3 linked regions of the Notamacropus eugenii genome follow. The protein of the gene in region 1 interacts with the protein of each later gene in a pairwise test. Links are inferred from orthologs where the notes say so. Each region holds a gene or a part of one and is shown in the gene's direction. Other genes may lie near its edges.

Region 1 (8,126 bases):
TCAAATCTCACCTCAGACACTTGACACTCACTAGCTGTGCGACCTTGGGCAAGTCACTTAGCCCTAATTGCCTCATCCTGGGTCATCTCCAGTCATCCTGATGAATATCTGGTCACTGGATTCAGATGGCTCAGGAGGAGAAAGTGAGGCTGGTGACCTGCAGAGCCCTCCCTCACTCCAAACAAAGTCAAGTGCAAGTCATGTCATCATTTCTCTGATGGCATGGTCTTCTTCAAAAATGAAGGATGAACACATACACATTTGGGAAAGGGGCCCATCCTTCATTTCTCTATCAGCTATGTTTCTAAATCTCCAGATTTAACATTCCCCAGACTGGGTATCTTTTCTATTACAAGTTAAGCTCCTTGAGGGCAAGGACTGCTTATATCTTTCTTTGCACCCTTGGCATATAGCAGAATGACTGGCACTTAATAAATGTACTTAATAAAATTACTTAATGAAATACTTAATAAATGCTTAATAAGCAATAATGGCACAAACCTAAAAGTGTCTCTCTACTTACCTGAGCTTGATAAGGTTGAAGTGATTTGACCACTGTCACAGAGCTATTGAGTCTCAGGGCTGGGACTTGAAGTCCGGTCTTCTGACTCAGCATCCAGTGCTCATTCCATCATGTTTCCTTCTCTGGCTAGCCATTGAGCCTAAGATTCCACAATTCAGAGTTAGTCTGCACACTGTACTAAAATGGCTTCCCATATTCGTCTCTCCTCCCACATCATTCCAAAGTGATCCCCAATATATCTTTGTACTTATAAAAGTTGAATTTTCAAAGTCAACCAGTGCAGGAATTTATTTCTCTTGATTATGCATATTTGTTGCAAGAGTTTTAGAGTTTGTTTTTTTTTCTTCTGGAGCAGAAGCAACAGGGGGCTAAGCATAGAGTTGCCATAAACAAAGACAAGAAAAGAGGGTCATTTAAGCATTCTTCCCTGTATTTTTTAGTGTACAAAATAGAACAGAAAGAAAACCAGAAGAAATTTTAGATAAGCAGGAGAGCTTTGTTTACTATATATTTAAAAAGAGAAGTAAACCGTACCTAATAGAGTCATGGTTTCATATTATATAATTATATAAATTATAAATTATACTCTTCTATTCTACTGGGTAAATGGAAGTGATAATTGTACTTGGTGTTTAAGTTCAGAATTTAAAAAAAATTAAAATAAATACCAATAGATTGTAAGCTTTTTGAAGAGTAGACTTCCTGTTGTTCTTACCATCACCACCACCACCAAAGAAATTACCTATGTGCCCATGTTTCTCACATACTTCTTTGTGTACATACTGTTTCCCTTTGAGTAAGTGAAAACTTCTTAAGGATAGGCAATGTTTAGTTTTTGTTTTTGCACAATGCCTGGCACGTAGCAGGTGCTTAATAAATATTAATTTATATATATATGTGTATATATATGTGTATATATATATATGTATATATATATGTATATATATATATACATACATATATATATATTATAGTCCCAGAACCTGGAACAGTGCCTGGTACATAGTAAATAGTAAATATTTCATGCATTGGCCACACTGACTGGTCAGTGCTATAAAAATTATTGAACTCATTGTGAAAATGATCATTACCTATCTTTTAGGGAAATGATATCAAACTTCCCTCTGCCAGGAAAATTCTCCAGTACTTCTGGAGTCAGATAAAAGTGCAAATGGGACATATATAACAAAATAAATAAAAATACAATCCAATATAGATAATGTTAATTTGTGATTTTCCAAGTCAAGCTACAAGATTCATTTCTATTTGAGTTTGACACCATTGTTTTAGGGCATAGTGTCCTCTCACCTAGATGGATATGACTTCCATTCCAACCCTCATCTCTTCATCTTCCCACCCATATGGGAAGGAAAATGACTTGTGTCATATGACCACACTTAAAGGAGCACTCCTTAACTCTTAGGTGGATTGTATTGATGAGGCAATAAATTTTAGTAGAAAGAACTCTGAGTTTTAGTGAGGGAATCTGGGTTCAAATCCCAGATCTGCCACTCACTATTTGTACAACCTTAGATAAGTGTTTTAACCTCTGGTCCTCTTTCCTCATCTTCCAAAATGAAAAGTTTTCTGGGGCATGGTAGAGAAAATCCAGAGTACAATTTGGAGAGAAATGAGACGTGGCTGGCTTGGGCACCCTCCTTAAATAGAAGTTCTAGGAGGAGCCATCCTATCAGAGAGAGAGGTCAGAGGAAGGGAGGGTACTTATGTTGTATGAATTCCAGGCCTGGAATGAGCATTCAGGATGAAAAGGCTTCTCAGGCACAGTAGAGAAAGTTCAGAGAGCAGTCTAGAGAGGAATGAAAGGAAAATTTCCCTGGCAAAAAACCTAGCCCAGCTCCATGAGTGCATGAAATTTTCCACTCCATAACACTGTTGGGTAGCAACAGCATTAGATGTGGTATGAGTTAATGATAATCCTGGGGACTTAAGGCACAGCTCATCTTACTTAACTCAGCCAGTGCCTTAATGTATAATCTTAGAGAAGTCCAAAGTCATTTAACTTCCCTTTTTCTCTTATGCTCTTTCAAAATTTGGGGGAAATTATACCTTCGGTTGGATTGAGAAGTAGAACTCAGATCCATCACTAATTTGTATGAGCTTTAGAAATGTATTCAAATTCAAATGAAATAGGCAAAAATTACCATGCTTTTTGGAAAGGGCATGAAAATTCTTGTTAGACACATGGAAAGTGGTACTATTATAGTTGTTGTGACGTATATAGTCAATGGGCAACTCTTTCATGCCTATTATCTTCTATCCTTTTAGTCTCCTGTCTTCTGAAATAAGTATTGTGAAATGCTTTATGTGAGTGCACTTTTCAAAATTAAATAATCAGAGTTGTTTATGATTAGCTATTGGGGTCAAATGCTTACTTCAGCATTTCCAGGATCTCCAACTAAACTACTCTTTAGATGACAGCCTATCAGCAGCTCTTCTACGGTTCTCAATTCAATTCACCAAGCATTTAAGTTCCTATTATGGACAAGGCAATGCATTATTCCCATTATCAAAGGTGATGTATTAGAGTAGATAGAGAAGCCTACTTACGGTGATAATCATCTTTCCGTTTTTCTTTCAGTAACCTTTAATTTTAATTCTTTTGAAATTGGCATTCCATGATTCTCAGACACATGACAGTACTGGGAATTTTTTTTTTTTTTTGTCTAAATTCTTGGAGTCAGAAAGACTTGAGTTTGAATTCTTCCTCAGATACATATTAACTGTGTCAACCTGGGCAAGTCACAACTTCTTTGTGCTTCAGTTTTCTACCCTAGAAAAAGAGGGAGTTGGAAGCTGGTAGCCTCTGAGAACCCTCCCAGCCCTAGGTTCATGATCTTATGAAGATTTTTTAGCTTTATAGGACCTTCTAGAGCAGATGTGTTAAACTCAAATAGAAAGGGGGACCACTAATCCATACATCAATATATTGACTTTAAAAGTCAATGTTCTATTGTATTTTTATTTATTTTATTTTTTATAAATATGTATATATATACATATATGTAATATATTTATTTCATTAAATATTTCCCAATTATATTTTAATTTGGTTCAGGCAGGACTCCCATGTTGCAGACCACAGTGTGTTTAATACCTCTGTTCTACAGCATGTATTCAGCTGCTATAACCCAAAAGAACCCAGTCTTACCTCCTTAACACCATGAGGCATCAAAGGGAAGCATGAAATAAAAGTAAATGATCACAAAAAGTCACTCTTTAAATAATATCTGGACTGATGTAATGTCTTGCAGTAAGTTAAATTGTAGTCATGGTTAGATAATTTCTGGCCCTGAGGTGAAGGATGTAGTCAGCTTTTAATAAGTGCTTATCTATTGACTGAGAGGCACCCTATTAGCATTCCACCACTCCTACCACATGCTCATTTTTATTTTGTCCTTCCTTTTTCTCTTTCTCCTTCCATTCCTTTCTCTGAAAGCCTTTCTCTCTCCCTTTCCTTTTCTTCCATTTCACCTGTTTCTAGCTTAGGCTTAACAGCAATACACAAGGTCTTCTACATTGACTTACATACGTGGAGCTCAGGAATTACAAACATACTTGTTGTTCATTATTACTGCCCCCACTCCCCCCACAGGCTATCCAAGGGTGTGATGCCAAGATTTTCACGATGTGAATCTTCTCATGAGGATTAAAGAAAGTCTTGTGGGGTAATAGTTTCAAGAACAGGACTTGAAAGCTCACCACTAGAAGATGATGGAAGAGCCCTCACTGATGCCACAAGTGTTTTAGGGTGACTGAGTCAAAGGTACTTCCAGTTCCAAGCTACCTCTAAAGGGCTGACTTCTGAAGTTATCCCTGGCCCTCCAAACCTGTAATATGTTCCTGACACACCACAGTTGTGGCAATCTAACAGTCTGTCATAGGCTTGATAAAGCTGAAATTCTCCCCCTTCCCCAATATCCCCCCTCCACTTTGCTTGCTGAGTTATTTACATAGGACAAGTGTGTCCTTGGACTGAACTGACCAAAAGGGGAGCCTGGCAGCCCCCTGTCATTGGAAAGTCTGAGCTGTCTTAATTCAGATGCCTTAAAAGGCTTCCATAGCTGAGGTGCTTCAGTTCTTATCTTTTGTGGATGGCTGTTCCTTTAGTGATACTGTATTTATAGCTCCCTCTGGCAAGAGAAGACCTGTCTAATTACTAAAGACATAGTTAGGAGTAATCCAATAAAGCAGTAAACCCCTGCACTGGCTGCTGTCCTCTCATTTCAGGCAAGGGAGCCGACCAAAAGGAGCTACCACTGACTGGGTTGTAGCCGAGGTAAGGACAAAATGACTTGATCCACAATAATTTCTTTTCCCCTTCCTTCCTCTCCGGTTCCTGGGCTACCAGCAAGATAACAAATACTTAATGTGGGGAAGCTTTGATGTTTAGGGAGGAGAGAGCTTTAAAAACTGTTAGCTTTCCCTTCAGCCGTTTCTGCCTACACAATGTCTCTTCATGCCAGTCTGGGACTGCCATCCAGGTGCTAAACAGCTGGGCTCATTATGCAAAATCCTGTCCCTCTGCAGACTGTGCTGAAAGAATATTTTTCCTTCCATGTGGACCATTCTTCCCATTCAAATAGAAAATTGCATGGAAAAGGGTTTGGGTTTTTGGGGGGTTTTTGGCAAGGGGGTTTCTTTTTCCTTTTTTGCTTCACATACACTGAATATTTGGAAACTGGAAAATTCCGAAACAATAAAGAACAACAAAAAAATAGGGATGAAAACCTCCATATTGCATTTGAGGCTTTGCTCCGTGACAGCATTTCCTGATGGCCTGCGGGTGCCTCTGGGTGAAAGGCAAATCACTGATGAGACTGATTACACACTGGGAAAGTATGTTTAAACAAAACGACTTGTTATGGCTTATAGTATGAAAGCACAAATAGCTGTTGTGGGCTTTCCAAAAGGAAATGCAGTCACGCTTTTGCAGTGGACTCTGGCCTGATGTGCCTAGGACTGAGTCATGAATGCAAGAGCCCAGCCAACGCCTTGGCACCCCATGTTGGTTGCTTAGTTACTTTTCCTCAGAAGCCAGGCAAGTGCTATTTCTTACCTCCAGTCTATGAAAGAAAGCAGTTTGTGGAACCCCTTTAGGATGTAAGTACTGGGGGCCAAGTCTAACCCCTGCTTTGTAAAGCAAGTCATATTTCGTGAGATTTTAAGTACTTGTATTTGTGCTTAAGAAATGTTGGGGGAGGGGAGTTGACTAATGGTAGATCTACATCCTTGTAATAAGTGCTTGCTCTACAATGGGGCTCATGGTCAGATATGATAAACAAGAGTTTATGGCAAACAGAATGTGTTGTTCAGCCTTTCAGTCGTGTTCAACTCCTTGTGACCCCATGGACCATAGCACACCAGGCCTTTCTATCCTTCTTCATGTCCTTCACTCTCAAAGTCTCTCCAAGCTCACGTTCACTGTTTACATGACACTATCTATCCATCTCATCTTCTACCATTCCATTTGCCTTTTGCCTTCAATCTTTCCCAACACCAGAGGCTTTCCCAATGAGTTCCATCTTCTCGTTATGTGGCCAAAGTATTTAAACTTCAGCTTCAGTATTTGATCTTCCAGTGAACAAAGTGAATTAATTTCTTTGAGTATTGACTGATTTGATCTCCTTGCTGTCCAAAGGATTCTCCAAAGTCTTCTCCAGCAACACAATTTAAAAGCATAAGTTCTGTGGCGCTCAGTTTTCCCTATAGCCTAACTCACAGCCACACGTTGCTACTGAAAAAGTCATAGCTTTGACTACATGGACCTTTGTCAGCAAGATGATGTCTCTGCTTTCTAGCACGCTGTCTAGATTTGCCATAGCTTTCCTTCTAGGGAGAAAGTGTACTTTAATTTCAGACTGCAGTTACTGATTGCAGTGATATTTGAGCCCAAGAATACAAAACCTGACACGAGTTCCGTTTCTTTTCCCTTATTTGCCAGGAAATGATGGGACCAGTTGCCAATATCTTAGAGGTTTTCTTTTTAATGTCAAGCTTCTAGCCAGCTTTTACACTCTCCTGTGTCACCCTCATCAAGAGGCTTAATCTCCTTCACTTTCTGTCATCAGAATGGTATCATTTACATATCTGAGATACCTTAATTTCAGCTTTTGATTCATCCGGTCTGGCATTTAGCACAAACGTATCTATAAAAACATGCATATGCGTATAACACAGTATGTTCCAAATGTCTTAGTGCAGTTGTCAGCTTATTAAAGTTTAAATTGCACTAAGACTTTTGGAACATTGTATAACAAAAATAATTTACAACACACACATATGCTACATTATTATACATTATGATAATATAGTATGCTTTCTGTGTACACAAATGCATTATAGTACATAGGTATATGGCCAGACTAGACCATATGTAATTTATAAATTACAACTATATTTGTGACAAATCTAACCTACATGTATTTGAATTTCACAAAATTTAAGTGTAAAAATTAAATTGTAGTCAGTGTATTTTAGGGTTGCTTCATACTTCAATATTAAATTAATCAGAGCCATCCTTCCCTAAACCATTCTGAATAAATGAGAGTTCACTAATCCTGATGTAGAATCTCAAATTCAAAATCAAGTTAGCTCATTGATATTCAATAATATTAATTTATCACTTTCTGGGTTTTCAAAGCACTTTATATATGTTATCTCATTTGATCCTCATTTAACACACAGAAAGAAAATTGCTCCAGAGTACTGTGAAGCTACTTCTACTCTAGCAAAATTATCAGCAAAAAAAATGAAAAAAAAATTAGTTTAGCAATTTTTAGATTAGTCTATATGACACCAAGCATCTAACTTTATTGATTTGTTTTCTACCCAGGTTAATTTGGCTTCCTGTAATTGTACTCTCAAAGGTCTTTAAATCATGGTTGGACAATTAAAAGCAGCAATAACATGTGCTTTGAAGAATTTGGTATTTAACAGATGTATTTTATAAATGTCATGCTATTTTTTAAAATGCTATCTTGTAAAAACAAATTTTTTTTCTAACAGAGAATTTTTAGAACCTGAGGCTGTTAACTTTTTCTAAACTAGAAAGATCATTTTTAAGTTTGAGGAGTAAGGATAGAGAAAGAAAAAACTTTTTATTCATTTTAATAGCAGTCTTTTCCTCTAATTAATAACTGATGATGGAAAAATGGTCAAATGAAATCAGAACAAGTTAATGTCATCATCAAGCCATTCAAATAATTCACATAAGCTATGTTTATGTGTTTCCAACATACCTATGAGTATTAAGAAAAATACCTGTAGTAGAGAAAAAGGAGAGCTAAAATGCATATTGAGGATATAGCCAAGGGAAAAATACAAAAATTCCATTTTGGTTTGCAAGCATTTTGCATTTCTTTGCATTGTGACATCTAATTAGAATGAGAGAAGGTAGAAATATCTGAACTAGCTGTGGGGAGCCATTTGTTTTCACAAGGGATGAGTTGTAACTGTGTTATGTTTGCTGCTTGGGCTCCTAAGCTGCTTTCTCCTAGGTTGATCTATCTAGATCAATTTCAGTAATGTCAATCTGTGGTTTAGTACAAATACAAAATGAAGGACGATAGGATGCTGGTTTAGT
Region 2 (8,260 bases), on another chromosome or scaffold:
TGAAGAGGGGATGGACTGGAAGCAGGGAAACCAATTAGAAGTCATTGGAATAATCTAGATGAGATAAAAACAAGGGCCTGAACTAATTAAGAGGCCTTGAGTGGAGAGAGCATGATTGTTTTCAAGAGAGATTGTGGGGGTAAGATCATCAAGACCTGGAATCTGTTTTGATATAGAGATTAGAGAAAAAAGATGTCAAAGTTGCAAAACTGGATAAATGGAAGGATGAAAGGGGGGCAGGTTTTGAGGGAAAATATAATTAATATTGTTTTGGACATGTTGAATTTAAGGTACCTTTGGGACCTCTCCATCCAAAATGGAGATAGCAGGTAGAAAGCTGGTAACCTCAGGGAGACTCAAGGCAGAGTGGAAAGAGCTCAAGATTTGGAATCACAGGATCTGGGTTTGAATTTCGACTCTTCCACTTACTTGCCCGTGTGATTCTAGGCAAGTCACTTCAATTCTCCCACTTCACTTCTTGTTTAGTCATTTTTCAGTCATATCTGAGTCTTTGTGAGCTCTTTTTGGGCTTTTCTTGGCAAAGAAACTAGAATAGTTTGCCATTTTCTTCTCCATGCCATTTTATAGGTAAATAAACTAATATAAATGGGCTTCAGTGACTTGCCCAAGATCTCACAGCTAGGAAGTTTCTAAGGCTGGATTTGAACTCAGGTCCTCTTGACTCCAGGGCCAGCACTCTATCCACTGTGCCATCTAGCTTCTCAACCTTAGTTCACTCATCTGAAAAATGGAATTAGAAATAATAACTTTTAAGTTTCCTTCAGACCAAGGTCTATGATCCTATGAGACTACAATCTGGCATTTTTAAAGCTAAATATATCTATTTGGAGTCATCTGCACAGAACTGTCAACTGAACCCCACAGAAACTGATGAGACTGCCAAAGGATGGAGTACACAAAAAACAGAGCCCCAAATGGAGCTTTGAAAGATACCCACATTTAAAAGGCAGGAAGAGCATTTAGGAAAGAAGACAAAGAAAGATCCATCAGACAGAGGGAAAACCAAAAGAGAAAGTCACACAAGGCAAAAGTACCCAGAAGAAGGGTAGCTGAAAGTACCAAAAGCTGCAGAGAAGTCATGAAGGATGCGAACTCAGGAAAAAAAAAAAAAGGCCCACTGATTTTCAGCAGTTAAGACAGTATTTGCAAATTCAGAGGAAGTAGTTATAGTCAAGTGGTAGGATAAAAAAAAAATCAGAATGCAAGAGATTAAGAAGTGAATGGGAGATGAGAAAAAGTAGGCCAGCATTACAGAAGGCTTATTCTGTGAAAAGGGAAGGAAGAAAAAGGTTGGAGGAATAGCAGTCAAGAAAAGATTTAAGGATAGAAGAGAAGTAAGCATGTTTATAGGTGGTAAGGGAAGGAGCCAGAAGGTAAGGACAGACTGAAAACAAGAGAAAGAGAAGGAATGGGGGGAGGTCTCCTGGAGGAGACTGGAAGGGATAGGACCAAGAATTCAAGTGAAGGTACTGACTTTAGCAAGAAGAAGGTCCACCAACTCATTAGAGACTGGAGCAAAAGAGGGATGACAAAGGGTTTAGGATCTTATGAATGGTCCCTATTTTTCCTGCAAAGGAGGAGTTGAGGTTCTCTGCTAAGGGGCAGGGTGGCAGTAGGTGTAGGAAGTCTGAGGAGTGAAATTGTGTAAATGTCACAGGATCAGTCGGGATTAATGTGCAGCAGGGAGTGTCCAGCTGAAATTATGTAACATAAACCTGGAGAGGACCCAGTGAGGTTACATGGCTTTCTTCATTTGTTGTTCAGCAGCACCTGAGTAAACATGGAGAGGGTGAGTTGGTCAGTCAACAAACATTTATTGGCACTGTGGTAAGAGCTAGGGATTCGAAGAGAAGCAAAGACAAAGTCCTTGCCTTCAAGGAGCCCACTTTCTAATGGGGAAACGTAACTAAATATGAACATACAAGGTATCTACAGTATAAATGGTGGGGAATCTCAGAGGAGAAGGCACTGGGGAGGAAGGAGACCAAGAAATGACTCTTGCAGGTGGGATATCCGATGTCTTTGTTTTGACATGGGTTCTCCCTATCTCACCCAGGCTGGACATACTGTATCCGGTCATAAAGCATGATGCATAAGGGAGCTTTAACCTACTCTCCTTCTGAACAGTTCTCCCCTCCTTAGGCAGCCTGGGGATCCTCCCGTCCTAGGGGCTCACTGTTCTTCAATCTTGTCCAACTCTTCATGACCCCATTTGGTGTTTTTTGGCAAAATAGAGTGGTTTGCCATTTCCTTTTCCAGCTCATTTATGAGGAACTGAGTTAAACAGGGTTAAGTGACTTGCCCAGGGTCAGACATAGCTAGTAAATGTTTGAGGCTGGTTTTGAGTTCAGGAAGATGAGTCTTCCTGACTTTGGGCCCACCACTCTATCCACTTTGGTGGATACACTGGTCATCTACCACATCAGTGTGGATGCTTGATCAACTTTAACTTTACCTGCAGCTCAGAATTCTGGAACTCAAGTGATCCACCAGCCTCAACCCCAGCCTCCAGAAGCAGAGAGAAGACAGTACGCTGAGGTGAGGAGGTAGAGTATTGCAGGTATAAGGGATAACTAGGAAAATGGCTTAGTCGAGGGATGGAGAATCTTGTTCAAAGGAGGCACGGTGCTACTGAATTGTAGAGCAATTGTGGAGGGGGAAGTAAGGTCTAAGAAGACTGGAAAGGGCCAGGTTGTGAAGGCCCTTAAAAACCAAATATGGGATTTCATATTTGATCCTGGAGGTAACAGAGAGACACTGGAGGTTACTGGGTAGGTGGCTAGTGTGGGTAATCCAAGGTTGGGGTCTGGCAAAATATGACTACTGACAGAACAAGGGACTAAATGGTAGCTACTATTGTATGGCTGTACTGGTCAAGGCTGTGAAGGGAGAGAAAGGAGGTTTGGGGAGGGTTGATGATCAGGGAGAAAAGGATGGGGGTGGGAGGTGGAGGGAAATGGAGGTCACAGTAAAGATAAATAGTTTGTGAGGCAGGAGAGACTGAATTATAGGAGGCCATGTTCTGACTGATGAGATTTCAGAGTTCTAGATCATGAAGGTGGAACAATTATGGGTGATATAATCAAATCATGGGGTATACTCATCCCTGAGTTTGATGAAAGACATGGGAGTTTAAGAGGTTGATAAACTGAGAGGCCAGGGTGGTCAAGTGGACACTGATATACATGCTGAAGTCTACAAGTTGGAAAACAGAGGCTGGGGCAGAAAGATCATGGGCTTTCAGCTACTGAACTACTGCCAAATGGAAGGAAAATAACCTGGAGGTTGGCAGACGACTATGACAGATTTGGACTAGGTAACAAAGATAGATGGAGTGAACCTCAAAGGAAGTGATGAGTGATGGGAGTAAAGGTGCATTTTGGAAGTGGCAACCGGAGTGAGGAGTATGCTTCCTCTTGCTAGCCCAGGGCCTCTGAGGGCATAAAAGGTTCACCCAGTAATAAACTGGCTACGGATGCAATGTGTGTCTTCTAGGAAAGAATCCATTTTCTTCGGTATAAGACAGAGTAAAAAGAACTAGAATAAAGGGGAAGAAAGGATTTCAATGGGTGCAATCCAGTGGGGGAGCAGAGGGTAATATGGTCCTGGGAAATACAGAATGGGGAGAGGATTTTCACCTTAGCAGATGTTGATTCTGAACCAAAAGGATAAAGGGGAGTTGAAGTCCAGAATTTGCCCATCATTAGAAGGGGAAATGACCAACTGATAGGGGATACATCCTTTGGGGATGGATTTCTTTTTTTTTTTTTTAATAAAAATATTTTTCTTTCAATTTATAATCTGACCTTCCCATTCTATGCGAAAAAACTCTTCTTATAAGCATACTAACTCTGTAAGCACTAATGTACTGTTTCTATTTAATTTTTCTTCACAATCAACAGATTCACATACAATAACACACAACTTTAACATTAAATACCACAAGCTGAGTACTGCAAAGGCTTTTGCTAAATACTTTAAACGTTTCAGAAAAGGCACATTTTGCCATTTTTAATGAGGTTTTAATGTGTTTGAAAGTTAGAGCAGAAATGGTAAGGCACCCTAGTGAGTTCTTCTCGAGTGGGGGTTAGAATGGGAAAAAAAAATCCTCCTTGTGCTTTTCACTTCTAAGGTCACTTACCGTTTGGCCTGACACTGTAGGACTTCCTTGTTTCTTCTGACTGGATGTTAACCCCTTGAGGATAAAGAATTATTCTTCTTTTCCTCCGCTTGGCACAGAGAAAATACACAGCAATCGTTTGTTAAGCGGAATTGTAGAGTGAAAGGATGGGCCTCGTGCTCGCTCTACTGTAGCCTCTGGGGGAGGCCTGAGACAGGTGTCGTAAATGGATTAGGTGGAGGCAGCAGCCCGAGGAGCGGAGGGGGATCCGGCAGAAGCATCTGCTCTCAGACCCAGAAGCCTGGGCGACGAGAGCCCCAGGCGGCAGGAACGTGCTCGCTCTCCCGGCTCCCAGCGAGGGAGCGGTGCGCGCTCCTGGCTCCTGCAGCTCGGCGGTCAGGGGGAGCTGGGCACGCACGTGTGTGAAGTGGGAGAACAGGTGCGGCTTGGAGAGAGCGGAGGAGGAGAAGAAAGGCCACAAGCTTAGGTGGGGGCCAAAGTGTTGGGGATTGTTGGGAAGAGAAGGTAAGATCCGGGAGAGTAAGGCAGTGAAGGGGGGCAGAGAGAGGCAAGTTCTGGGGGGAAGGAGAGGAAAAACTCTTGGGAATAAGAGGGAAGTGAGTCATCTAAAGGGAGAGGGAGGTACGTAATTCTTGGTAAGTTTGGGGGGGCGACCAAAGGGAAGCAGCTCTGCAAAGGGAGGCGTGAGTGCTCGGGTGCGCGGCGCGAAGGGGCCGCGGCTTACAGACACGCGGGGTGCGTGGAGGTGGGGCGCGCTGCGCCCTCGGCCCGACAGTCCGTGGCTCCCACGTGTCCCTAGGAGCTGGAAGGCTGGGGGACGGGTAGGAGAGAGCTCCGTGGGGGCGCAGAGCGAAGGAGGCATCCGCCCGCTTGATCTCTCTCAGGGGTACGCAGACGGCAGCTGCTCCCCATGGGCGCCGCGCACCGAGCACGTGGGACCCGAGCCCCGGTCCCGCCTGCGCAGACATCCCGGAGGCTTCCCCCTCCCCTTTCCCCGGGCCTGGGGGCCGGCGCCAGCTCCTTCCGGGAGGCAGGAGAGGGCGTGGCCTATGTCTCGTTTCTTTCCCCTCTCCTCACTCCGCCCCTCCACCTCCTGTCCCAGCCGGCGCTCCGAGGACGTCGACGTCCGACGTGCAGACGCAGGCACGTTGACGTAAGTGACGTCCAGGCCCGGTCCGCTCCTCCTTCCCTGTGTAAGCGCCGGCCCGGTCGGGGCGGGGGAGGAGGGAGGAGACCCAGGAGTCGTTGTGGGCCACGGGCCGGACCGGGTCCCCGGCGGGCGCGACGGGAGCCCCGGGGCCTGGCGGATAGGGCTTGGTGGGCCGTTAGCGGCTCGCCCGGAGCCCTCCGCTCCCGCCCTGGAATTGCTCTGTGGGAGACCCACGAGCCCCCTGGTCCCCGGCAGCCCCGCCGCCCGCCCGCCCAGGAGGGCTCCAATTAGGTCAGGCTGGGAGTTCTGAGCGGGGTCACTCCGCTCCCGCTGCTGCTCCTCCACGGCCCGGGGGCGCCCCGGGCCCACGGCCCCCCGCCCCGCCTTCCCCGCAGCCGCGCCTTCCCGCCCCGTGGGTGGTTTTCGTGCTGGTGGTGGGGGTCGGCGTCTGCGGGTGCGGGGCCGCCGTCGGGAGGGTGGGGGTGAAGGGTGTCGTGCCACTGTCTTGCAGAGCAGCTCGCCTGGCCATGGAGGCTGAAGAGACGATGGAATGCATTCAAGAGTTTCCTGAACATCACAAAATGATTCTGGACCGATTGAATGAGCAGCGGGAGCAGGACCAGTTTACTGACATCACTCTGATAGTGGATGGTAGGTGCTGGCCACTGCTGGGGGCAGAGTCTTTCCCTTTCCATCTGTTGACCCCCACCTCATCTCCTTTTTGATTACCTTTCTTTCCCTCCTCTCTTTTAGTTACCCCCTCCCCAGCTTTAATTGATGTGAATTGGAGCTCTGAGGTCACTTGCTGTGTCTGACAGACAGCCTGATGCTCTGAACTGTTTTCTTGTCACAATTTCTAAGAAACCCAGTACTCCTAACGCTTTACTCTTTTCAGGCCTCAGGGAGGTTTGTCAGAAGGGTGCATTTGAAGATTGCTTAAATGTTTTTCTTTTTTACATGTACCTCAGTTTTTAAGCTGCTCTAAGAGAAGCAGTCCCTTGAAGGAATTCCTTCCATCCATTTTTGGGAAATATTACATCCATCTTAATTGTTCTTCTAAAAAAAACCCAACATTTTTGGCAGCATTTAAATCTTCCTCATTTGGTGGGACCCATAGGGCCCTCCACCATTCCCTTTTTGGTTCATTTCATCTTGTTGTGCATTGTGTGTGAGTGAAAAGTAAACAGATTAAAAAAGCAGGCTCCTTATGATTGTCTATTACATTTGGATGGACCAATTTTTGTCAAAACATCCTGGCTGCCAAAGTCTAAGCATGAGCTCTTAAGAAGTGTAGATGTTAAGCTTCCTGGTGCAAAGGCATGGCATTACCCAGCCAAGTAATGCTTCTTTCCAAAGCTTGTACTTCTACCTCCCTCTCAAAATGAAACTATACACTTTTAAGGTTGAGCTTTTCTTTCTTTCTGGCAGTTTCAACTAAATATGATATGCCCTTTGCTGCTTAATCAGAAATGTTGGAGGCTAGTAAACATCTGTCATGCTTCCTTTCAGAAGTATTTTCATTTTAAATGATCAACATTTATGCAGCTCAGAGAGAATGACCTTTATAAATCTCTTAAAGTCTTGAAATAAAGACTTCTCTTGTTCTCCATTCCAGGTACAAATGTTTGCCAGGTAAAAAGGATAGTGACCTGACTTGAATTCAAAGATTACAAGTAAAAGGTCCTTTTTCCCCCCACTGAATTATTTTTCAAACTGGATTGTATTTTATATGTTTTTGTTGATTTTAGGTCACCATTTTAAAGCCCACAAAGCTGTTCTGGCTGCTTGCAGTCAGTTCTTCTACAAATTCTTTCAAGACTTTACTCAGGAACCTTTGGTGGAAATAGAAGGTAAATTCTTGTTTTCAGTTCAGTATTTGCATTAAGTGAACTATACAGTGATGAAGAGATTTTGAACTTTTTGACACCAGTAGTTATCTGAGAGTTTTACTTTAAAAGTGTTTGGTAAAAATGATCAATTGAGTAGAAATCGTTGCATTATGTATAATAGCTGACACTTAAAGGAACAATAACTGTTAGATTAACAGTTCTAACCTTTGTTGAAACTAACGGACGTTATTTGTGTGGTGGTGAGATGTGAAAATGTGTATTAAAATGTTAGTCAGCTGGGACATTTCTTGCTAGTCGGCAATATGAAATGTGATTATGTAATGATAGTTTTGTCAAGTATCATTGGAGGGCATAATTTCCTTCTTGCAATTGTGGTGATGCTGCTAGTTATCTCAAGTGTTGAGTAGCATTCTGTTAACTAGCAAAGGTAGAAGTTAACACTTCAGAGAAAACATACATAATCTTAACTTGGCGTAAAAGTCTACTGTAGGAAAATTGAGACCAGCCATGTGTAAGGTGTGACAAAGGATAAATTGGATACAGAAAGTTCAAAGTGAAAAAAGGGATCAGATATCATACAGATTCTGACTTGAATGAAAAGTAGTTGTACTACCTGTGTGTCTTTGCTTCTGCACCTGTTAGTTAACAAGCATTTATCAGGCATATACGATGTGGCAGGAATACAAAGACAAAAAATATAGTCATTATCCCTATGCTCGGAGAGCTAACATTCTATCAAAGGAGATTACATACATACATGCACACATATGTATAATCACAAATATTTACAAAGTTAATGGAAGATAATTTGGGAGATCTGAAAAGGCTTTATATAGGAAGTAGCACTTGAGGTCAGTGAGGAATGAAATAGGGTTTCTAAGAGGCCTAGGTCTATAGAGGGAGTGCATTCAAGATGTGTACAAAGGCACCAAAAACAGGAGTTGAACTGTCACATGTAAAGAACAGCAAGGCCACTTGGTCTGGACTGAAGGAGAGTCAGTCTGATAATCCTGGAAACCATAAGTCAAAGTTTAGTGAAAAGAAAGTGACTTTTAGGAATGCTTTAAGAAATTCATTTGGGCAGTTTAGGTATGGATT
Region 3 (8,409 bases), on another chromosome or scaffold:
GAAAGTGTCCCCGTTAAGCCATCTTGTCTTACAATTCACCCGTCTTCTTGCTTCCATTCTCCAGGTGTTAATACTGAGTCAGCCTGGCAGGTAAAGCCATACAAAGACTAGATCACAGGGAGCTAGGTGATACAGTAGATAGAGTACTGGACTTGGAGTCAGAAAGACCCATGTTCAAATTCTGCCTCAGGTATTTAGCTGTGTGGTTCAGTTAACCTCACTCGGCCTCATTTTTCTTACCTGTAGAATGGGGATAGTTATTAGCACTTACCTTGCAAGGTTGTCAGGATGATCAAATGAGATAATACATGTAAAGCACTTTAAAAACTTTGAAGTTCTATATAAATGCTTGTGGTTGTAGCAGTCAGGGGTAATTACTATAGAAGAGGACATCAGATCATCAAAAAACCCTGACCACCAGACCCTGCTGTTACCTGAGGCTTTGCCTCCACATAGGTCTGGAAAATTTCTTTATAGATGCCTTCTCCACTGAGATAGGGTCCCCATCTCCATGTTAGAATAAATGGGAGTATATGCATTTGAACAAACATGCAACCTTTTAGCAAAGCACCTACTCAGTGCAAAAGGCAAGGCTAAAAGAGGGTCTCTTTGCTTTCAGGGAGCTTACAGATTATTGGGAAATATGCTGCTGTTCCACAGAAAGAGGGTGAGATGTTAGGCTAGGTAAAAGAAAGCCTCTGACCTATAGGTATATAGCTGAGGGACCCTGGACATTTCCCTTAACATCTCACTGCCCAAGGTTACTTTCTAAGACTACAAATTTCAAAGCAGGTTCTGATAGGAATTGGTGTAGGATGTTTCCTCACTGGGAGTAGCCCACAACAATGGAATCATAGGTATCTACCAAAAAGAGTGAAGTAGATTGCTACGCGCACAACAAAGAAAGCGACTGAGAACCAAAGTCCTTAAAAACAATAAGTATTCACAGATGTGGGGGATGATTTGATTTAATCTGCTTAAATCTAAGATGATAGATTAGATCAGGCCATCTCAAACCCAAACCCTGATGAAATGGGCTGTTTATAACTACACACACACACACACACACACACACGCACACGCACACACACACTCACATACCATTCCACATGGATGCATACATAAACATGTACACACATATACATCCCCAAATTAGTCTTCCTTTTATTCCAGTGAGTTTGTATTCCTAGTTGAATTCATATGCCTTTGTGAAGGAAAAAAAAAACAGATTAAGTGATAGCTGCACCAATAGATAAATGCTATAAACATTAAAACAACATGAAATTTGAATTTGAAGCCACTGACTATTCAAAATTCTGTCCAGGCCCATAAGTGTATGGCCCTCTCTGTCCCCCTGTCCTACTTTCTACTGGTAACCAAGTGGTACAATGGATAGAGTACTGGGCCTTGAGTCAGAAAGACCTGAATTCAAATTCAGCCTGGGATACTGTGTGACCCTGGGCAAGTCATTTAACCTCCATCTGTCTTACTTTTCTCAGCTATAAAAATGGGGATAGCAACTACCTCCCAAAGTTGTTGTGCGCATCAAATGAGATAATATTTATCAAGTGCTTGGCATAGAGCCTGGTGCATAGTAGGCGCTTAATAAATGTTTATTCTTTCCCTGTCTTGGCTTCTAGCTCCTGGTGATCAGAAACAAAAGGATAGAAATACATATGGAAGATACATTTGGTTATATGGAAAGATACGTAGATAGACACTGATGACCTATTGAATATTAGGCAAGTCATTTAACTTTTCTAGACCTTAGATCTTTATCTGTGAAATGGGAGATTTACCCTAGATCACCTCTGAAATCAAGGATATGCTCGTAAAAAATGTTTAACAACCAACTCTTTGGGGGGCAGAAAACCCACATGTATTTGGGGTTAAGTTTAATCTGCATTATTAACATTTTCTTCATCCCTTTCTTAAGTCCAGAAATTTGATAATACAATAAATCAAGCCCCAATTCTCAGGGTTTGTTCGGGTGTAAATGCTCACACTATAAATTTCACACTCAGCTCTCATGAGCCAACATGAGCTGGTTTTAGCATACTACCATCTGATATCTACGCCAGCTCTAATCATATGACCCTAGAGGGCAATAGAGTGTGGACTAGGGCCCCTGAGGTTTTTATGATCACCCAGAACAAAGGGTATGAAGATGGGTAACACCTCAACCTCTTACCAATAGCCAATCTTAGAGTTTATCTCCAGCGTAACCATATCTATCCCTATTTCCTTATACACCATCTACTCTAGAGGCAGCTCTAGCTCTGGTCCTTGAATCAGGAAGACAAATAAAAATCCAGCTTCAGACATTTACTAGAGAGGTGATGCTGGCAAGACATTTAATCTTTCTCTGATTCAATTTCCTTTACTGTATAGTGGGGGTAGTAATAGCATCTAACTCACAGGGTTGTTGTGATATTGAAAAGTGCTTAGTACTGTGCCTACCACATAGTAGGTACTTATTTCCTTCCTTCCTTCTCTCCTTTGTTCCTTCTTTCCTTCCTTTCTTTTTTTCTTTCTTTTTTTCTTTCCTTCTTTCTTTCTTTCTTTTTTTCTTTCTTTCTTTCTTTTTTTTTTTCTTTCTTTCTTTCTTTCTTTCTTTCTTTCTTTCTTTCTTTCTTCCCATCCCTTCCCTCTGATACTCCCATTAGTCTATGAACTCCTTGAAAACAAGCAAGAACCGTTTTTTTGTCTTTCTTCACATTCTCAATGCCTGGCATGTGATAGTTACTTAATAAATGCTTACTTCCAGAATGATAGTTTCCATCTCCTCCCCTGCCTCCTTCTGAACTTGAAATATGGCTTTCAAGACAATTATAATTTAGCTGCAACCTAAGACCCCAGAGAAGTGGATGAGTCGATGTGGGAAACCTAAATTCTTGTCCCACCCCAACATATCCATTTCTTAGCCCCCATATCACTTGGTGGCTACAGTGGATACCTCTCAAAGGTCAGATTCAGTTCTCTAAGATAGGTATTAGTGAGTAAAAGCCTCACTCCTCCCCGCAACTTCCCCTTTCCATTTTTGGTGGGACAGAGTAGATGTCACAGAATAAGCAGACATGGATGAGTTTAGAATGTATCAAAATCCCATTGTATTATCTTTCCTTCTGAAACCCCCTCTCTCCCAACCTCCCAATTTCTGCTGAGGGAGCCACCATCCTTCTAGCCTACACCCTCAGTATCTTCTTCTGCTCCTCAATCTCCCTCACTCCAAGGTTTATTCCATTCTTTAAAAATGTTTATGTTTAATAATATATATAATTATTATTACAGTGGTATATGTATATAATTTATAAATAATTAAATATGTCAATCAACAAACCTTTTTAAAGCAACTACTATGGCCAAGCACTATGCTAGCCAACGGGGATGCAGGTAACAAAAAGTTTTAAAATTCTAGCTCTAAAGGAGAAAGACCACAAATACATATAAGTGTATACAAAATAATATAAAGAGAATAATTACAGATAAATACAAAATAATTAAGTACAAGGTTCTTTGAGAAGGCGCACAGTTGTAGTCAAGGATGAGAGTGGGGGATCAGGAAAGGTTTCTTTTAGAAGACATTGCTTGAGCTCTATCCTAAAAAGAGATTTGTTTCCTCTAAGGCAAAGGTAAAGAAGGAATGAATTCCAGGCACAAGGGACGGCCAGTACAAAAGCATGGAGATGAGAATTGAAGTACTATTTGTGATAAATAGAAAAAAGGCCAGTTGAGCTGAATTGCAGAGTATGGGATAGAGAATAATGCATAGTGAGGTTAGAAAGATAAATTGAGGCCTGCTTGGAAAAGGACTTTAAAAGCTAAACAGAGGAGTTTATATTTTATTCTGCAGGCAATGGGTAGCCACTGGAGTTTATTTTGTAGGGGAAGGATAAATTCAGATCTATGCTTAAGAAAAATCACATTGGCAGTTACGTGGAGGATAAACTGAAGTGGGGAGAAAATTGAGTCATGAGAACCCATACACTTACATTGGAAGGATGTGCTCAGTTTTTACTTTATTTTCTTTTACCATGGTGTGCATGGTCGAAAAAGGTTTAGAGACCATTTCTCTAGAGGTTCAAAGTGGGCAGGGAACATAGGAGAGGACTGATGGTATAGGCAGAGGGATGATGTCCAGAGTTTGAAGTGAGTAATAGTTGTAGCAGTGGGCAGGGTTCTCTAAGGAGCTATCATGTCCCTGATTGTAGAACTGAAGGGTGAGGAAATTACAAGGGTAGGGATCATCTACCATGATGCGGGATCTTTATCTTAGAGGCTTGCTGTATATGTACTCAAGCCAAGCTGAATGGGGAAAAAAAAAAAATTAAGCACTATGTGCCAGGCACTGTACAAAGCACTGATTGTACAGATACAAGCAAACAAGCCAGACCCTACCCTCAAGAAGCTTATGTTCTAAATGGAAGAAGGAAAGCTGGAAGTGGGAAAGCAGTGCTCCTGAGGTGGGAGGGCTTGGAAATGACAGGAATGTGTCCTAGTGGCCTAGTTCTGAGAAAGATAAGGTAAAAGCTCACCTGTGAGAACACTAAAACTGTGAGTTGTGGTGGGAGGAATGGCCAGGGTGCAGCAAACATGGTTTGGAAATGGAAAGGATGCCCTGTGCTTCTAGCCTAGCTCCTCTAGATCACCTGCAAAATGAAAGATGAGTACAAAGCTTACCTAACCCCAGGGCAGAGTCCAGTCCCAGTGGGATGACCCAGAAGGGCTCATTTAACAGGGTGGAAGGCTTAGGGATAAAGTATATCTCACCTGAAACAGTGCTAAACAGGAGTAAATTTATCCAGTATAAAAGGGAAATAGCATGATGTTTACGTTTGGAGTGGTATTTGGTAATCACATATTTCCTGAACCTTTTTATAGTTTATAAAGAGACTCTCCCTAAGGGAATATAGAGTAATTGAGTTTGGAAAAAAGCTTAACCCCAAATAATAAAATCACTGAGAAGCTAAAAAAGAAAATAATTATCCTTCATAGTAAAGAGTTTTTGTATTCTTGATACAAGCTATGTATTAAATGAATGAAATGAATTTTTTAGAACTGGACTCATATGATCCTTTAAAACACCATATATATATGTATATAAATATAATTAACACTGCTTTCTGAGGAAGCATGATAACAGCCAGTGTAGTTTGAGGGACAGATCACTGCACAGCCTCTGGTCCTTAGCAGATGTTTGACTTTGGGCAAGGCCTTAAACTTTATCTGAAAACTTAGAATAGCATGACTGATCTCACAAGATGGTTATAAAAAGATTATGTGAGATTATGTATATGAAGTAGTCATATGGCAGTTATTGTTATTATATATAAAGCAAGTCAGTTACTCTTAGCATTGATTTGGTCATTGAGAGGTAGTATAATTTGACAGGAACAACAGTGGACCTGCAGTCAATAGAAACCTGGCTTGGAATACTTCCTCTAATAAGTAGTAGCCATATCACATCAGCAAGTCATTTAACCTCCAAAGGAACAATAAGAACAGCCATAACTCATCCCTTGTGGGGCTATTGTGAGGATCAAATGAGATAATATATTCATAAAGTGCTCAGCAAACTTAAATATCGACTATCATTCACATGTTCTTTGAGAGGGAGTTTGATAAAGCACAAAGACCACTGCCTAGAGTTAGCAGAGACTTGGACCTGAATCCTGCCTCTGACACTTTTAGTTCTTTGTGACTGTATTTTTGCAGTTTGGAGTTGAGCTCTTTCCAGCCTCAACTACTCTACACCCCCTCCCCTCCTGGCAGATCCCTATGATCCCCAATGGTGCCCTATCCATTGTGATCAGTGATGACCACCAACGGGAGGAGGGGAAAGGCCTAACCTTATTCTTCTCCTCTGAAATAATGATGTAGGCAGGCAGAGGTACATAGTCAGCCAGGGGATGGCAAAAGTTTATTAAGGGGAGGAGATATGTGCTTGAGCCAATGCCTGGAAGTACCATGTAATTGCATATTTCCCGCAATATTCCCCCCACATCTGGATTCTTTTTCATTATCTCACCTGAGTGGGTGGGGTAACGTTTACATTCTTATCCCCCTTGAAGGCTGCCCAGTGTCTAGTCTGTGCATGCCAGGAGGCGTGTGCGCTATGAACGTTTCTGAGCCCAGCATCTGTTTTTGCCTCGGAGTTGGAGCATTTACCATCGCAGAACCGTCAGCTGCTTTCCCCGAGCCCACATCTACATTCCACAGGTCTGGCACACTGTCTGTGTGACTGCACCGTGCCTTTTGTTTAAAAGAGAACGGATTGGCAAGCCAGGACTTTGTATCCAGCAGCCTCTCCCTGGGTCAGTTGCAAAGTAAAAAGCCCAGAGGATTTGCAGAATTTGCTGGCCCAGCAGGTAATGTTCCCGCTGATTCGCGATGTCCAAGCCTTCTCGCTTGGCTAGACCGTTCTCAGCTAATGCAGCTTCTAAGCTGCCATTACCTAGGAGGGACGAGCAGGACAGCAGGCAGAAAAAGCACAGTTTAGGGGAGAAGAATTTGAAAATTGGAAGTGAAGGAGGTCTGGGCAAACAGCAGCAGGTGCAAACTGCAGCCACGACCGCTCCAGGCAAGGCTCGTTCATGCAAAGGTAATGTTTGCTGCCAGTCTCCCGGGTCCCCTTGTCTATCAGCTGGAAGGTTTTCAGCTTACTTACTGGCTTAATGATACTACTGGGTATCTTAAATGAGTTGGACTTTCTGGTTTCAGGAAGTTATCTGTGTGCATGCATGTAATTTCTTGTTGTCTAAAAGTTCCAAAGCAAGTCACTAAAATAGCCAATTATTGGCAAGAGGTGGGTAATAAAAAAAATTCCGTAGTTAATCAAGGGGCAGTAAAATAAATGAAGTCAGGAAAGTGTATATAACTGATACTTCCATACTTCTCCTTTGGAATGACTGATTACATCTCCAGTTATATTTAACAGCTTTTCCTAGACCAGCCATAGTCACCCAAAGTTTCTTTTTATTGCCTAATGGACTGAAAGGAAAAGAAACAAAAAATGGGGTGGGGGAGCCCTTTAATATACTTCATTAACTAGTTGAGAGTTTTTTATACAGATTTGCATTTTTTCTCAGCCTCTTTTAAAAATGAGTTACTATATGGAATAATAATCTAACGATGGAACTTTATGCCAAGCAGTACAAAGGAATCCTGCGGGCGTCGTTAAATATTGTGCAGGAATGTAAATGAGGACAATCAGGGTTCTGTAGGAATATCTCACTTGTCAAGCACATGCCTAGATGAGGCCATCCAAGAGGTGGTCTCCCCAAGAAACCTCCGAAAGTCAATGCATTTCTGAAATGATCACCTACATGTTATTGTAGTCCAATAAATGGTGGAGGCAACAGAGGCCAGGTTGAAAAGGTTAAAATTCATTGGTGCTTCTCTATTCTATTAAAAACTCTAATAAGAGTGACTACCAAGAAGCGCTGATCATTTTAATACAAGAATTTTTTTATCGAGACTTAAATGATGTTATTTGTATTCTATGCACAAGCATGTGACTTTGAAGTCAATTTTTCAAACGTAAAATGCCATTCTAATTATTTCACTATTTCCCCTCAGAATACAATCAATTAGTCAATAAGTACTTTTTAAGTCCCTACTACTTGCCAGGCGCTGTGGTAGCCAGGTTAGGGGATACAAGTACAAAGAATGAAACAGCTCTACTTGAAAATGAAAACAGCCTTGCTTCTAATGGGAAGGACAAGAAGCATAGAGATCGAGATATTGACACTGATATTGACATAGATGTGCGTATTTTATGTCTATTTGGATATATGCTATATATAGAATAAATCTGAGATTAATACATACAAGCAAATTGTGTAAAGTAGTACCAAGATGGTTTGGGAGGGAGGACATTAACAGTTGGGGGATCAAAAAAGGTTTTATATAGGACATGGTGTTTGAACTCTATCTTCTAGGAAAAGTGAGATTCTATGAGGCGGAATGAATAAGGGAATACATTCCAGACATGCGGGGCATCCAGTGCAATTTGAAGTCAGAACCTTTTTCTGTTAAAATGAGCAGAGCATAAATAGAAAAAAATACAGTGTGATTTAACTGGCAACTATAGATTTTCCCCATTGCATTCCACTTCAAAGGTATACATTTCCATCTTGGGAAAAAGTTTATTTTTTCCCCTTAGTATAACTTATTGCATGTGTATAAAGAAATGGTGACACATTTTCTTACCTAGTGTGATGAGTGATGTATTTGTACTAAAAAAAAAAAAAAAAAAAAAAAAAAAAGCCCTCAAGAATTGCCATCCTGTGTAAAAGGCAAATGTCGAAACCAGCCGGGAAAGGCTTAGAAAGTGTCAGTCAGTTGCAGAACAGACTAGATTTGGCCGCAGAAAAGGGAAACTTTCTTTGATGCTGTGATGTGTGTGAA

The links.
Region 2: the proteins of FHL2 (region 1) and ZNF131 interact in binary tests that used the Homo sapiens proteins (3 or more experiments, as listed by UniProt). The two-hybrid records come from large-scale screens. The link is inferred for Notamacropus eugenii from reciprocal best matches to the Homo sapiens genes FHL2 and ZNF131.
Region 3: the proteins of FHL2 (region 1) and KIAA1217 interact in binary tests that used the Homo sapiens proteins (3 or more experiments, as listed by UniProt). The two-hybrid records come from large-scale screens. The link is inferred for Notamacropus eugenii from reciprocal best matches to the Homo sapiens genes FHL2 and KIAA1217.

What each region holds. Positions count from the first base shown.
Region 1 is NC_092877.1:200,474,641-200,482,766, reverse strand, and holds the start of FHL2 (four and a half LIM domains protein 2), read left to right. Parts: upstream 1-4,730; 5' UTR 4,731-4,820; intron 4,821-8,126. UniProt on the Homo sapiens protein: May function as a molecular transmitter linking various signaling pathways to transcriptional regulation. Negatively regulates the transcriptional repressor E4F1 and may function in cell growth.
Region 2 is NC_092875.1:416,848,446-416,856,705, reverse strand, and holds the start of ZNF131 (zinc finger protein 131), read left to right. Parts: upstream 1-5,151; 5' UTR 5,152-5,211; coding exon 5,212-5,315; exon of another isoform or gene 5,316-5,355; intron 5,356-5,359; exon of another isoform or gene 5,360-5,603; intron 5,604-5,823; coding exon 5,824-5,963; intron 5,964-7,060; coding exon 7,061-7,162; intron 7,163-8,260. UniProt on the Homo sapiens protein: Plays a role during development and organogenesis as well as in the function of the adult central nervous system. May be involved in transcriptional regulation as a repressor of ESR1/ER-alpha signaling.
Region 3 is NC_092874.1:64,821,550-64,829,958, forward strand, and holds the start of KIAA1217 (sickle tail protein homolog), read left to right. Parts: upstream 1-5,300; 5' UTR 5,301-6,390; coding exon 6,391-6,601; intron 6,602-8,241; exon of another isoform or gene 8,242-8,409. UniProt on the Homo sapiens protein: Required for normal development of intervertebral disks.